2 linked regions of the Tamandua tetradactyla genome follow. The protein of the gene in region 1 interacts with the protein of each later gene in a biochemical or structural test. Links are inferred from orthologs where the notes say so. Each region holds a gene or a part of one and is shown on either strand. Other genes may lie near its edges.

Region 1 (7,592 bases):
TGATAATAAAATCTTATTTAAGCATCTACCTTGTCCAAATTACCATATTTTTACAGAAGTGGGGCAGGAGAGTAAGAGCTACAAATGTCTGTTCACAAGAAAATGCTGATTTACTGTTCTGAAAGAAATTAGCAATATCATCAGACATATTTTCAGCAGAATTAGGCAGGATGATCTTTTTAACTTGGGATACCTAATGTTTTAGACGGCTGGACAATTTGGGGGAATTTTAGGAGTGATTCCCCAGATAAATTCTTGGGTTTCTCTTAGTTCCTAAATAGATTAGACCTTACATCTAATTCCAGATCTTCCAGTTATCAATATTCCTTTTTTGATATTGAACCAGAAAATGGCGAACATGAACATTAGCCAGGATTTAAACCCTATTTAAACCGTATTCCCAGAGTTCCTCTTCTGGGGTATTAAAATAATAGTTCACATGTGATGTCTTGAAAGGTCACAAAAATTAGTATTTTATTTATAGTTTAGTTGAAATAACTAAAGGTAGGAATACTAGGGGCAGAGGAAACTGCCCATCTGCCACCCTGGTGAGGGACAGAACAGGTATTATGGGAATCAGAGAAGCCTCCAGAGGTGACTAGGAAAATGGCACCGTCTGCCATTTACTCTCTACCTGAAATGCTGGCTTTGCCCTCCCCGGTAGGTCTTCTGCTCTAGGCCACCATCATGGAGTCAGCTACCTTACTGGGAACAAAGTACTTAAATTCCTATCTCTAAGGTAGCCCCTGGCTGCATTCTTCAGAAACTGAAGGATAACAAATTTATGTTTGCTACTTTGCTCCACAGATGAACCACTTACTTCCCATCCTCACATTTTCATCAAAATAAGGTGAAGCACCACTTCAAACTGCAATGATATGTTTCTTTAATTACCCCTGGAAAACTGTGGGAAGAAATGGAATGGGACAAGAAGGAGAAATACACATTTCCTATCCACAGGGTTTTTTCCTCCCTCTAGTAGATCATAGGAAAACATGATCTTAATTTGTTGAGAGTATATTGGGTGCCATAGTTTTATTTCTCATCTGAATCCATGGTGTTTTATATTAAGAGTTTTTTTGTTGAAATGCTTGTGCATTAACAATATAAAAATGTTTGGCACTTTACCTATACTGCAGCCCACAAATCTACAAACACTTTAGAAATGTTTGCAAGTTAATCCTCTTTACATTCCAGTAAATTATTCCATTGTCAAAGCCCACAGATGGGATACAGGAGACTGGATTCCTGAATGGAACACTGTATCCCTTCGGATTAAAGGGAAGGAATGGAGACAATGGAGAAGAGGGTGACAATTATTATGCACACACTATATGGCAGACTCAAGAAGCAAGAAGATGTAGTTACCAAATATGTTCAAGGGGGATGAATGCCCACTCCCTGTACTCCAGTGGTGCGGTGGTTATGGGCATGGGTTTTGGGCATGTCTCTGGTTTCACATGCTGGCTTTGTCACTTCCAAACTCTGACCTTAGGCAAATTCCTTCACATCCCCAGTTTCATTTGCCTCAGTTGCAAAAGCAGGGTCATTCATCATAATACCTACCTCATGATGTTGTTGTGAGGATTAAGTAAAATAATACAGGCAAAAATCCTGCCATACATGGTAAACCCCAAGGTTAAGTACCTTATGGTATTATTTCCTCATCAGAATATATTGCTAAAGTCATAGCAACAATGAGAAACATTGGGACGGTAGGATGCTACTTTACATTTATTCAAGGGAAATGTACTTCAAAACGAGATAACTATACACTCTATGAAGAAAATAATCTACAAGTACTTTTCCTCTAGCTACCAAATCTAAATTGACTTTGGGTCCAAGGCCACATATTATACAGCTTAATGTCACACTTCATCTATCCATTCATTCATTCAGTATGTGCATGGAGGCATGGTTTAGGTGCTGATGATTCAAAGGATTTCTGTCCTGAAGGAGTTTCCTGTCTGGGACAAAGGAACTAGACCAGGAGAAACAGGACAGAACAGAAGGGGTAAGAGGAGGGGCAGAGAGGTTGAACATGCCTGGAAATAGGCAGCTTTGGTTGCTTTGGAGTTTCAAATGATTTCTTTTTATTTTCTTGGATTATTCCACTTATCCTGCCTTCTGTACTTGCAGGTACCCCTTCTCTTGGGGCTATTCCACATCTAAAATCTGAAGTACCCTAATTCTAAGAACTTTCCCCTTAACACTGATTCCAGACAGGTGGGGGAATTCCTGGCTAGCAGACTTGACTAAAATATGGAATGAGGAAGTAGGAAAGCATGCAAGGTCAATACTTCCTAGTGATTTGCCTTTCAATATGCTATGCCAAAAGCACATTTTTCTGGGAAGACTTATTCAACAAATACTTTTTTTAAAGTGAGTTACACACTAGTTTTGTAGAACACTAGGTGAATGCTCTGTGAAAATGGGGTATTTCACTCAAGTGCATGGAAGTCAATGGAGCAAGTGTATCACTCAATTTCAAAACAGATTTACATACTAGTTTCCTAGTACATTTACCAGGCACTGGGCACTATTCTAGGAAATGGGGATATATCAGTAAAACCAAAGTTTACTGCCACAGTTCCCTGCCCTCCTGTAGCTTACATTCTAGAGAGAGATGGACCACAGGTATATTCTCAAAAAGGGTCAGTGACACAAAAAAATGCTTAGGAATCATGATATTGAAACTGTGGCCTTCAGTGTTGTGTACCAGAATCATTTGAGGGAATCCTTAAAAACCCAGATGCTAGAGTCCATTCCTGAGATTCTGATTGAATGAATCTGGAGTTGGGCTTGGAAATCTGCATTTTGAAGCTCCCTGCTGATTTTTTATATACAGTCAGATTTGAGGCAGTTGTTTCCCAGAAAAGAGGCTGGAAATGAAATTCTGCTTACCAAGGAGGGCCACGGAAAATCTTTCAGAAACACTATCGAAAAATGGGATTTTCAGTCTTGGATATCCCAAGAGAGATGCATCAACATTCTTCCCTTATTATTATTAGCTTAGAATAGCACCATACAAACAGGCTTTAACATTATTTAAATATATGCCTACATATTTTTAAGCTCTAGAAAGGAGGGTATGATTATCGCCTAACTTGGAACCCCAAATGCTTTCGTAATTCCCTTTCCAAATAATAATACCAATAAATATAAAGAACTTTAATTAAATGCCGTTTTACAAGTATTCACTTTACAAGCTTAGCACTTTACAAGTATTCTCCCATGTAATGCTCTCCAGAACTCTTGGTTTACAGAGTAGAAAGGGGAGGCTCAGAGAAGTCAAGGAGCTCCTCCAAAGTCATAGAGAGAGCGGACCATTGGGAACCTAAATAAACTCCAGAGAGCAGCTCTCTGTCCCTTCAACTCACCATCCATATTTAGCACCGAGAATCTCTCCTGTGACCAAAGATGAATAAACAGGTTACAAATCTCCAAGGGGGGGAAGAAATTGCTTGGGGTACTGCCTCCCAGGTGGTATTTGGAGAGAGCAGCTTTCCGGGCGGTGGGTATTCTTTCTGTTCGAGGCCACCAAGCTCGTTCCGAGCTCTCACCCTACCCCCACCACCCCCGCCGCGGCGCCGCAGGCAGCAGCGACCCGGCGGCTGCAAATTCCGAGAGGCGGTGGCCGCACCGAAGCCGCGGGCGCCAGGACGCGGGAGTCGTTCCCAGACCTGGTAGCGATCCTTATCTCCTGTCCCCCGAAGGCTTCCTGCCTCCTCCGGGAGCTTGAGCCCGGGGCAGGTGGCTGGCTTCCGAAGTCTTTGATGGAAGTACGGTTCAAAATCTAGTTCCTATCTAACTGCGGAGATGCGAATCTCCGCTCACCCTTTAGCTTCTCTAGCGCGCCTTTTTCTGTCTGTTCTAAAAAGTTGGCTCCAAAGTTTAAAGGTTCTGGTGGGTGCGTGGGAGGGGGGCGCGTGATTCTCAAGGGACACTGGGGAGGCCCAGGAGACCCCACCGCCCTCCTCCCCCGGGTGGCAGAGAGTGCAGCAGACCTACACCAGGACCCGATCCCGCCGAGCAGGCAGCAGCAGGATCGCGCCTCCGGGTCGGTCTCAGGGGTTTAGAGGACCTATAGCTTGGCCAGTCACCGGCCGAGAGCAGTTAGGAGGCTTAGGGCCGGCGTGAGTGCGTGCGTGTGTGCGTGAGTGCAAGTTCGAGCGCGAGGGTGAGTGTATGAGCCTCCCAACCCCCACCTGTTTGAAATGATTTTGAACTCCCAAAGCCGGATTGTCCGTGTTTCAGAAGTTGCAAACAGTTTGGCCAAAACATCTGAGTGTCCTCTCACCCCTGAAGGGTTTTGCTGAATCTCCGGCCATTGAAAAAAGAGGAGAAAGCAGGGGGGTTGTGAAGAGGGAAGGTAAGTGGGTGTCTCCAGACAGGTCGGTTTTAGGACCCAACGGGAAGCACACTGGAATCTTTCTCTCCGGGAAGGAGGGGTGGGGCGGGCTGGCCGGCCGGCGGCGGCGGGGCGCATGCGCGCGCGTCTGCTTTCGCCGGTCGCAGCGCTCCGCGGCGCGGAATAGAATGAAATGTAACAAAACAAGCTGAGCCTTTGTATCTGCTTAAAGGGGCCGCCCGCACTTCCCTCCAGTTTCCCCCACCCCCGCTCCGCGACCGCGTCTCCAGGGCTCCAAGCAACTGGGCTGGAAGGGCTTCCCTCAACCGCAAGAACAACCCAGCAGCGAGGAAAGGCGAGCCAGGCGGGAGGCGTTAGAGGAGGCACCGCATTTCTAAACGGCAAGAAAGAAAGGAAGGAAGGAAGGAAAAAAAAAAATAACCCAAGCGGCGCAGAGTGGACTCTGGTCCTGGAGAGCCGGGTCGGGCGCCGGAACGCGAACCAAGAGGCACCGGAATGCAAACAAAGCTCGCGGGTGCCTGTGCAGGGCTCGCGGGGGAGCCGAGAAAGTTTGTTTTATGATGGCTTGAGTGCACGAGTGTGTGCAGGGAAGCGAGGCTGCCAACTTTCGCTCTCGAGTGGCGTTATTTGGAGGGAGATCTCTCTCCTATGAACCAGCGGAGCTCTGGGGGCTTGTGCTTGGGGGCCACCTGTCTCTCATTTATTTATTTTTTGGAGGAGGGGTGTACCTCATCATGTCGAAAGTGATCCAAAAGAAGAACCACTGGACTAGCAGGGTTCACGAATGCACCGTGAAGCGGGGACCCCAGGGCGAGCTGGGGGTGACGGTGCTGGGGGGCGCTGAGAATGGGGAGTTTCCGTATGTCGGAACGGTGGCGGCGGCGGAGACGCCGGGGCTTCCCGGCGGCAGCGAGGGCCCGAGGCTGGGCGAAGGGGAGCTGCTTCTGGAGGTGCAGGGGATCCGGGTGTCCGGCTTGCCCCGCTATGACGTGCTGGGAGTCATCGACAGCTGCAAGGAGGCCGTCACCTTCAAAGCCGTCAGACAAGGTAAGATGGGGCGTACCTCACGGTGGCGCCCTCCCCCGATGGGGGCGGCCTACGACCTGACCCCCTAACTTTGATTTCCGCTACTCTTCTCGCAGTGAAGCTAACGGGGAAGTTGAGGCGGTGCGCTCTATGGTGGAGAGATACTCAAAGTTGTTGGATTGTTTGCCTACCTGCGTTTGTTAGAGGCGTCCAGGGTTTGCGCAGGAAAGAAAGGACACATTTCCTAGGCCTAATGTGCTAGCTTATTTTAGCCGCCGAGCGCAGCTCAACCTCTCCCGTGTCTGGAGAAGAGTTAGAGAGCTGAGACAAGGGCAAAGGTGGGCACTCTCCCGGCTCCTTGGGGGAGGAATGCAGCGGGCGCAGCTGCTGGCGTTTTTCTGCTACTTGACTTGTTTCCAGACCTGGAGAGTGGGTGTGAGGCAGGAGAGGGTCTCCGGTTTGCTGGATCCCTTCCATCAGAAAATCGGTTTTCATCTCGCAGCCCCTCCAGGTGGACTGGGCTTGACCGCCTGGCAGAGTCTAAGTCAGCCTCTGAAGATCCTGCATTCACCCTACAGCTGGATGACGCATGTGTCTCCACCGGGTGGCCCAGTGGGGGCTGGGACGGGGGGGGGGGGAAGGAGGGAGGAGGGAGCACGTCCTTCAAACCTCAGATCAAGCCCAAGTTTTAGGCTAACACCATCACCACCAACATCATTAGTAATGATGAAAACAATAGCAGCCATTCATTTATCACTTACTACATGCAAGGCTCTGTGTAAAATGCTTTACCTGCAAGATCCTGCTTTGAGTCACAATTCTAAGGCCGAGTTATTTTTATAAACCCTATATTACAGATAAGTAAATGGGAACTGACAATGGTTAAGTGACTTGCCCAAGGTCACACAGCTACCACATCCCAGGATTTGAACCTTAAGCATTGGGGAGGAAGGGTTCTGGAGGCTGGGAGGATGGTCCTGAGGAACTGCAGGGGCTGATTTCAGACAGGGAGGACACAGATTCTTCCCTTAGAAGCCCATAAAGGAGGGGTGGACCACTAAAAGGATGGAAGAAGCTTTTGAGGGGTGGCGGTGGGTGGAGTGTCCCTTAATCTTCTTGGTTTGGGGCATATATATTAACCCAACAGAAAACGACTGGAGTCGTCTTAAGGGGATCCCAGTGGCTTGCGTGGGATCAGACAGCATGATGCATATTCTCCCCCATGAAAGTGCCAAGGAGGTGGCAAAGTTGAGCATGGTGAAAAGCTCCTACATGTGCCTGTTGGGTTGGCAGGGTGGGCAGCTGCTGGAAGAATGTGTCAAGGGAAAGAAGGTCTGGGCTGATTCTCTCTTGGAATCAGGCTTGTACTGGGTGAAATGGAGGAGGGGGCAGAGGGAATTGCCAGAACTTTTGGGAGCTTTGGGAGCTGAGGGCTGGAGCTTAGTTATGGAAAATTCATGCATTTATCCTCACCTCCCCTTGTATGCCTCCTCCTGAAGCCCTCCAGCATCCTGAACAAATCCTTACTTTACTAGGTTCCCTTAATGTGATGTACCTTGTAGTTATTAACTTCCTCAGAACTTCCTCCTCTCATCTCCCATACCATTTGGCACCTCATTGAGGCAAGAGACCCTACGTCATACATCATATACCTCCCCAGGCTTTTTCTTGAGGTCCATCACCACTGAAAATGTTTCCTCATCTGTAAAATGGTTTTCTTGTGGATATTATGTAAGCTAATTTAGTATGCAGAACAGTACCTGCCTGGCATTTAGTAAGTGCTCAGTAAAAATGAACTATGAATAAGTTTAAATTTAATTTTAACTGTTTCTTATTTTTAAGACTACCTTTTAATGTCAGAAACCTATGCCAGAAGCCTGGATTATTAAGGCTTAATAGCGTTGTAGAGAAAATACTGCGTGAAGCATTGGATGGGAGTGCCCTGCAGGTCTCAGTTAAGGAGCATGTTGGAGAAAGATCTGGAGAACAGATGATGGGCAGGGTTACCTGCGCCATCTGGAGGGTGTCTAGCAGTGTCCAGTGGTCCTGTATGGGGCCTTCTTTGCAGTGTGCAAGATCATGTATATGGCTAAGCCTCCTCTTTCTCCCAGTGAGCAAAGAGCTAGGAGATATTGTCCAGGGCTACCTCATCATAGAGTTTTCAGGAAGGGTTGGTGGGATAATCAAGTGGATT
Region 2 (7,689 bases), on another chromosome or scaffold:
TTTTATTTTGAAGATACACAATCCCCAAAATGTTACTTAAGTCAAGTGCAGCAGATGGAATCTTGAAAACGCCTACAAGTAGTCTAGAATACTTTAAATCCGGCTGTGAAAAATTAGGGCGAATCTGCAGCGCTCAGTAGGGGCAAGTATATTTGGTCTAAAAGCACTTTGCTATGTTATCGAGTCATGAAAAGCTATTCAAAGAGCTATATCGGAAATCCGATCTGTATTTTGAGCAAAACACGCTGTCTTTTCCACTATCACTGACCCCTTACAGGCACATGGTACATAATCTTGATTGTGCTTCATTGGTATTTATTGCACATGGACCAATTCCTCACACAGTAGTTAGTTGCACCAGAGTATAAATACTTGGCAAAATATGCAAGAGGAAATAGAATTTACACACAAGTGCTAAATTTTACCAACATATTCACGTGGGCAATTAGACATAAAAAAATTAAAAAAAAAACCCTTAAGATAAGTATAGTTATAATATGGATACAATTACAGTACCATGATAAAAGAGTATAAAAAGATATTTTACCAATAAATCATTAGCTCAATAATATAATAGACAACAGAAGTAGAGTTTTAACTTTTAGCTTTTAAGATGCACCCCCCTTTAAAAATATTTAATTTCCCTTTGTGCAAATAACATCTTCTGTGGACTTTGTAATTTCTAACACTGTGCAAAAATGGCATTTTGAACTACTCCTTGTTTTATTTTTTATTTTTATCCAAATGTACGGTAATCTGTTTTGATATTAGAACTGTTTCCCCCATTTTTTTTTCTTTTCTGTCCTGTCTTCAATTGACAATCACATGTTATGGAGGCTCAGTGCCTGGTCCTTCCGACTAATATTGATACATAAATAGGCTGTTTAATATAAACAAGTCTTTTAGCTTGCTGTGCAATATGCACAGCGTGAGGTAGAAATCCCAGAGCCTGACCCCCGAGGCACGGGGGACAGCAAGTTTGCCCTACAAAAGGAAAGCAAGGTGAGATTTGTTCCAAGAATAGCTTATTCTTGAAACTTGATTTTTGCATCCATCCTTTCTCTTTGCTTTAAGAACAGGGGATATCATTACTTGAGAGTTTGAGAGAAAGTTCTCTAGAAAGCAAAAAGGAACATGTTCTGACAAACTGTCTCACGCCCCTCCCCTCCCCCTCCCGGGCCATAGCCGGGTTGACTGTGCTCTTGTTCCTGAGAACAGATGGAAGCTAAGTTGATAGACTTTCATCCCTATCCCTACAGCTTCTCCTTTCCCCTCCCACCCAATTTGCACTCAGGTCTTTGCAGCAGGTGTGACCACCTGCGAGGGGGAAAAAAATCTAAGATGCATTACAAGCACAAGCAAAAGAAGGCCGAACCACGAACAGAAAAGAATCCAAGAGAAATCAGCAAGCCACTTTCCCACCCCTCCCAAACTTTCCTTTTTGTGCAACGGTCCGTGGCTTTTCTGTCTGTCTCGGATGATTCAGACGAGGTTTGTGGGCTTTGAGTTCACCTGCCTTCGGTCTTGAGTAAACACAGACCTTTTCTTTTCCCTGGGAAGCCATTCGGGAACGCTGGGTCTTTCCTCCCCCGGGGTGCAGACTCCACGTCCCGGCTAGAGTGGCGGGGAGCGGGCCCTACACCTTCGAGTCCGAGGCAGAGCCCGGGCGGCTCGGCTCGTCCAGGCTCGAGTCGCTGTCCATCGCCGCCCCGCCGTTACAGCCGGCCCAGGGCTCCAGCAGGCGCGCGGGCGGCGCGGCCCCGACGTCGTCGTCGTCGGAGGCGGCCCCTGGCGACGGCAGCTGCCGGGTCACTGCCAGGCAGCCGGGGGTGCGCGGCCGGTCGCCGGCGGCCGCGTGGCGTCTCCGGGCCGCCCGGCGCGCGCTGCAGAGCAGGCCCTGGAAGGCCTTGCGGAAGTCCGGGCTGCGGCAGTAGATGATGGGGTTGAAGGCCGAGTTGGCGTAGCCCAGCCAGTTGAAGAAGACGAAGAGGCGGTCGGGCACCAGGTCGCGGTGGAAGGCCTTCACCACGTTGGCCAGGAAGAAGGGCAGCCAGCAGAGCGTGAACACGCCCATGATGATGCCCAGCGTCTTGAGCGCCTTCTGCTCGCGTAGGGCCACGAGGCGCGAGGGCCGCCGCTTGCTGGTGCGTCCGTTGGCCAGAGGGGCGGCGGCGCGCGGGGACCCCGGCGAGCGGGCGGGCGAGGCTGGCGGCGCGGGGCCACCGAGGAAGCGGCGCTCGCAGCTGTCGATCTTCTTCACCTGCTTCTGGGCCTCGCGGAAAACCCGCAGGTACACGAAGGCCATGATGCACAGGGGCACGTAGAAAGAGACCACGGACGAGGCGATAGCGTAGGCCCTGTTGGTGACGAAGTCGCAGCACTTGGGGTCGTTGTAGCAGCGGCGCGCCTCTTCGCCCTCGGCCCGCCACCAGTGCATGAGGATGGGCAGGAAGGACACCAGGGCCGAGATGGCCCACACGGTGCACACGAGGGTCCGCGCCCGCGCACGGGTCAGCAGGCTCTGGTAGCGGAAGGGCGACGTGATGGCGAGGTAGCGGTCCAGGGCGATGACACACAGGGTCTCGATGCTGGCCGTCACGCACAGCACGTCCACCGAGGTCCAGAGCTCGCAGAAGAAGGAACCGTATTCCCAGCGGCCCCACACCACGATGGTGGCCCCGAACGGCACCACCAGCAGCCCCATGACCAGGTCGGCGCTGGCCAGGGACATGATGAAGAGGTTGGTGAGCGTCTGCAGCCGCGGCGTCTTGGCGATGGCCACGATCACCAGCACGTTGCCCGCCACGATGAGCAACACGATGAGCGCCATCAGCAGGCCCATGCCGGCCGTCCACTGCTGTGACAGCGGCGCGGGGACCTCGCTCAACGTGGGCAGCGGCGACGAGGCGGGCGACGCGGGCACCAGTAGCCGCGCTGCAGTGGCCGCACCGTCGGGGAGCGGCGCGGCAGACGACAGGTTGCAGGGCTCGGAGGCGCCCAGGGCGAGCGCCCCCGCGCCCATGCCGAGCTGCGGAGGCCGGGGGCGGGGTGTGTGGCGGGGCTGGGCCGTGGCTGGGGGAGTACCCCAGAAGCCGGGGCGGCGGGGCTCGCGGACGAAGGTCGCGGCCAGGTCAGCGCAGCCGCGGCGCAGGGCCCGAGGCATCGGCGCGGGGCGCCTTCTCCGAGGGAGCCGAGCGTTGTCGCCGCCGCCGCCGCCGCCGCTGCTGCTGGAGCCGCTGCCGCTGCTGGAACGACCGCCGAGACCTCCGCATGTTTCTGAGCGCGCCGGCCCGCTCCTCCGGCACCCAGCACCCACCCCACCGGCTCCCACTCCTCCAAGCCACCCCCGGGGCATCGCGTCAAGCTCCCGCAGCCAATCGAGGCAAAGGCACGCCCCTATCTGGTCCTCCCCAGTCCCCGGCACCTCCCTCTCAGCGCTTTGGAGCGGCTCGGGGAGGGGGAGTAAGCTGCTGAGCGCTGTGCGAGCGCCTTGCTGGGGTTTGCCGGGTCCTGCGCACGCCTCGTCCCGCACCGCGGGCCCCAGCGCCCAGTTTCCTGCGCCCCCTACAGCGCCCAGCTCCTGCGCGTTTCTCAGCCGGCTTCTGCGGCTCCCTCTCCCTCCAGTATTCCGCTCCCGGCTGCGTGCGATTTCTGCCTCCCGCGTTCGGCTTCTGTCTGCACTCCCGCTGCCTCCCGCCCATCCCTTCAGTCCCCCCACCCTCCCGGCGCGTCCTTTACCTCCAGCGCCCGGGTCTCCCGCAGAGCATCGCGCGCACTCCCTTTAGCCGGGAGGGAACCTCCGTGTTCTTGAAGCGCCACAGCTCCTCCTCGGACAGTCTGTCCGCTGGGGTTGGAGGAGTTTGACTGCGAGATTGTTTCTCAGACAACCCAGATGGGTGTGTGTAAAGCCCTTTCCTTGCCAAAAGGGGACCTTGCCAGCCTGCGTCCTGCCAGCTCGGGGAATCAGAGGCAGGTGTAGGTGGTTAGAGGAAACTTTCCAGCCGAACGCGTTAAGCAAACCGCTCATCTGTCGGAACGCTCTCTGGCGCTGTTCTTGCAGGGATCTTCAGTCGTTTCAGTGCAGTAGATGCAGAAAGGAAGCTAAGGTTTCTGCTCCTAACAGCTAACGCTGAGGATCAATTGCAAAAACACACACTCCCCAGTCCCAGCTAATGAATGTGTGAATATGCCGCAACAGTGTGTGTCGGTAATATAGAGAGATTTAGAGAAACAAATGTTGACATAAAAAGTAAATGGCACCGCCGTGAAGAAAGAACACATTTAATTACATTTCAGACCTTTCACATTCAGTAATGACACCTGTATTTTGTTTTTTATTACGCATGTGATTTCATATTGGAGCTGAGTCAATACAAACAAAAAGGAACTGCCAGTTTTGGTTGAAATAATGACCTGAGACTTCAGATTTCTTGGTCTGAGCCATCTTTTCTCCTGTGCCCAAATTCCAGATTCTCAAAACTCTAGGATTAGTCCTGGAAGGATGAGAGAAGGAAATATGTAAATATTCAAGATGATTGAAAAACGAAAGGATTTAAAGCTGTAACAGTAGGTTTTGAATTAGCAATTGAATCAGCTTGACATGAATGAGCTGTTAGCTGAGCTGTGTGGGGATTATATGAAGGGACAGACAGGATTGTCACCAATACAAGCCGGAAGGAGACTGCAAACCCTTTCTCTAATTTGGATCTGGTAATGTCCTCAAATTAAAGATCTTTAATTAAATCTTTGAGAAATAATCAACTTCTAGTTTTCCATGTAGGGGTGCATGAAAATGGTATTCAATGCTCACACATCTTTCTAGCACTGAAATTTTAAAAACAGCTTCTGGAAGGAACATCAACATCTAGACCAAACATATTCTTACCTTGCAGAGAGATGCTGATTTCTACAACTATCCAACTCAAGAGCAGAAAATAAAGCTCATTAACTTTACAAAGTCAAGCAGTTTTTAACTACTTTCTCCGAAATCCAAGCATATAAATTTGCTTTTGATTCAAATTTGATATTCAGAATGTTATAACCAGGGAGTGATTTATTTGTTTATTCACCCCTGCCCTAGTACTGTCAATCTGGGGAGACTGAAGAAGGGAAACAAGGAAACAAGAGGGGCTGGAAAGAGGAGAGGAACAGGCTTGAATTCTTAGTTACCCAAGTCTTTTCAAACTGAGTCTCCCCTTCAGGCACCTTTCAGAACCTCAACGGACAGTCTCAAAATAGCCAAGGAATTGGAAAGGGTTGAAATTGATGCTGCCCAGGAAGAGGGTTGAGTGCCTGGCTGCTGGGTGAGGGTGTGGGGAAAAAGCTTTCCATTGGGTGCCATCTTTTTGTCAAGTGGTGCTACCAGAATAGAGAGTGTCAACCTTAAGTGCCCCTGAAGGGTGAAGGAGCTGCATTTCTGGAAGAGATAAGGCCAGACCTTGGTTGTGGACTTGCAGTGAAGAACTGTGCAAGGTAAGGACTCTCCTGCCTAAGTAAATGTATAAGCACACCATGTAGCAACTTGAATTAGTTTTCTTTTAAAATAAAATCTTCCCAGTGACCTTTAATTCTTATATTTCATGGCTTTTTTGATCTTTTTTTTTTTTTTTTGCTAGATTTTTTTGTGCTTAGATGAAGACACAAGATAAAGAGGAAAAGGTTCAGCGTTTCAACTTAGACAGGTATTACATGTTTGGGGGCTTGCCTCTTCAAAATGAATAACTCCTCTATCTCCCCATTCCCATCCATAGCTGTTAAAGAGAATCTGTTCCTAGGAACCCACATATTTGGCAATACTTCAGAATATAGCAAAGCACTCCAACAATAATTCCAATCAGCACACTTAAGAAATAGTGTACTCCTTCCTCCATATTCCCTGCCTCCACCTCACCAGACCTATCCCACCGCCATCACCTGTATTTGAACTTGTGGGTTCTATTTGGCCTCCCCCCTGCATTGAATCCAGCATATCATAGTCTAATTAATGTTCTGAAAGTACTGCTTTGACTAAGATGCTTCTCGGTTTAGAAACCTAACTTCTCAACTTGGCTTTCAGAGATCTTCACAGTCTAGCCACAAACTTCCTTTCCAGCGCTCTCTCTCATTAGAACGCTCTACATCAGCTTAACTTGCAGTTTCCTAAGCTGCTCAACCAAATACCATGCAGTGAGTAGGCTTCAACAGTGGGAATTTATTAGCTTATGGTTTGAGGCTAAAAGAAAGTCCAAATTAAGGCATCATCAAGACAGTGCTCTCTCCCCAAAGACTGTGGCATTCTGGGGCTGGTTGCTGGTGACCCTAGGTCCTTAGTTTGTCACATGGCAAGGCATAGGTGGTATTTTCTGGTCTCTCCCTTCTCTTCTGGGTTTCATTGATGTTCAGCTTCTGGCTGCTCCCTTTGTGACTCTCTCTCTGTCTGAATTTCACTCTGCTTATAAAGGACTCAGTAATAGGATTTCAGAGCTGTCCTCATTGAGGTGGGCCACAATTTAAATGAAAGAACCTCATCAAAAGGTCCTATTTACAATGGGTTCCACTCCCACAGGAATGCATTAAATTTAAGAGCATGTTTTAATGGGCTACAGACAGCTTCAAACCACCCCAGTACTCTTTCCTTTCCTGCATCTGTGCTTTTTCTCCCTGGGTTCCTTCCACCAAGAATTCCCTCTTCCATGTCTGCCTCAGTGAATTCAGCCTTCAAGATCTGACTAAGGTCTTCTCCTGCTATCTTCCCTGACTACTGCTTCTGGAAATGGTCTCTCCTTCCTCTGTCCTACAATGCTTAACTATGATTTTTGCCATTCAGGAGGCAATTAGCAATATATTGCTTTTTGAGATCTCTTATATTGCTATCTTGTGTAATTTTTACATGTTTTTCTCTTGCTTTCTCATATGGATTGTAAGTTCAGTGAGAGCCAGGACTAGCCCACCCATTTTTATAGCCCCTCAAATTACTAATATTTATTTTTATTAATTAATATTTAGTACTGGTTCACAAATATTTAATATTTAATTTAATAATGTATATTCATACTTATGAGAAATAATTGTTTTGATTGTTAAAATATTTACTCATGCTTACCATTCATAATAATAAACCTTTAGCATACTTGATATTTTCATATAAGCATTTCGAAAACACTTTACAAATATAAGAGAGGCTCATGAGAAAAATTTTTGTCATACCTATTTAGTAATGAATGAAGTAAGGTATAGGCAAGGGGCTTTCTAAAGGGGCCAATACGAGATCACAGTAATAAAAAGTATTACCTTATCTTCACAAACGATCAAGATGAAGGGAATTTTTCCCTCTGCTTTCATTTACGGTATTATATACCCAGCCATCTCTGCCCTGGGAGAATAGCTAATGACTTGAATCTGGTGTCAAGTTCTATATCAAATTAAAAGTCTGCAGAACAGTGATCAGTGGGCATCTGACCCATTCTACCCCTATGTGCCATGGAGCTGGCAAAGACATTCCATTCTTGTGTTACTGCTGCCAGCAAAAGGGCTAAAATTAAAAGTGAACAGACTAATGGGATAACTGCTGGCTGATGGGGCAGAGGAAGTCGGGGTGAGTAACTGGAGATTTCTAAGTAAACTTTGAAGTACATCAAATCTCCTGGTTAGCTAAAATTGCTGTGACACTGCTAATAGGTGGTGGGATTTGCTAATCAGAGCTCAAGTGGC

What was found.
Region 2: the proteins of MAGI1 (region 1) and ADRB1 interact in a test that uses a peptide from one of them, tested with the Homo sapiens proteins (2 studies listed by IntAct). The link is inferred for Tamandua tetradactyla from reciprocal best matches to the Homo sapiens genes MAGI1 and ADRB1.

The regions. Positions count from the first base shown.
Region 1 is NC_135341.1:18,498,696-18,506,287, forward strand, and holds the start of MAGI1 (membrane-associated guanylate kinase, WW and PDZ domain-containing protein 1), read left to right. Parts: upstream 1-4,503; 5' UTR 4,504-5,106; coding exon 5,107-5,419; intron 5,420-7,592. UniProt on the Homo sapiens protein: Plays a role in coupling actin fibers to cell junctions in endothelial cells, via its interaction with AMOTL2 and CDH5. May regulate acid-induced ASIC3 currents by modulating its expression at the cell surface.
Region 2 is NC_135339.1:76,001,813-76,009,501, reverse strand, and holds the start of ADRB1 (beta-1 adrenergic receptor), read right to left. Parts: upstream 3,023-7,689; coding exon 1,637-3,022; 3' UTR 1-1,636. UniProt on the Homo sapiens protein: Beta-adrenergic receptors mediate the catecholamine-induced activation of adenylate cyclase through the action of G proteins. This receptor binds epinephrine and norepinephrine with approximately equal affinity.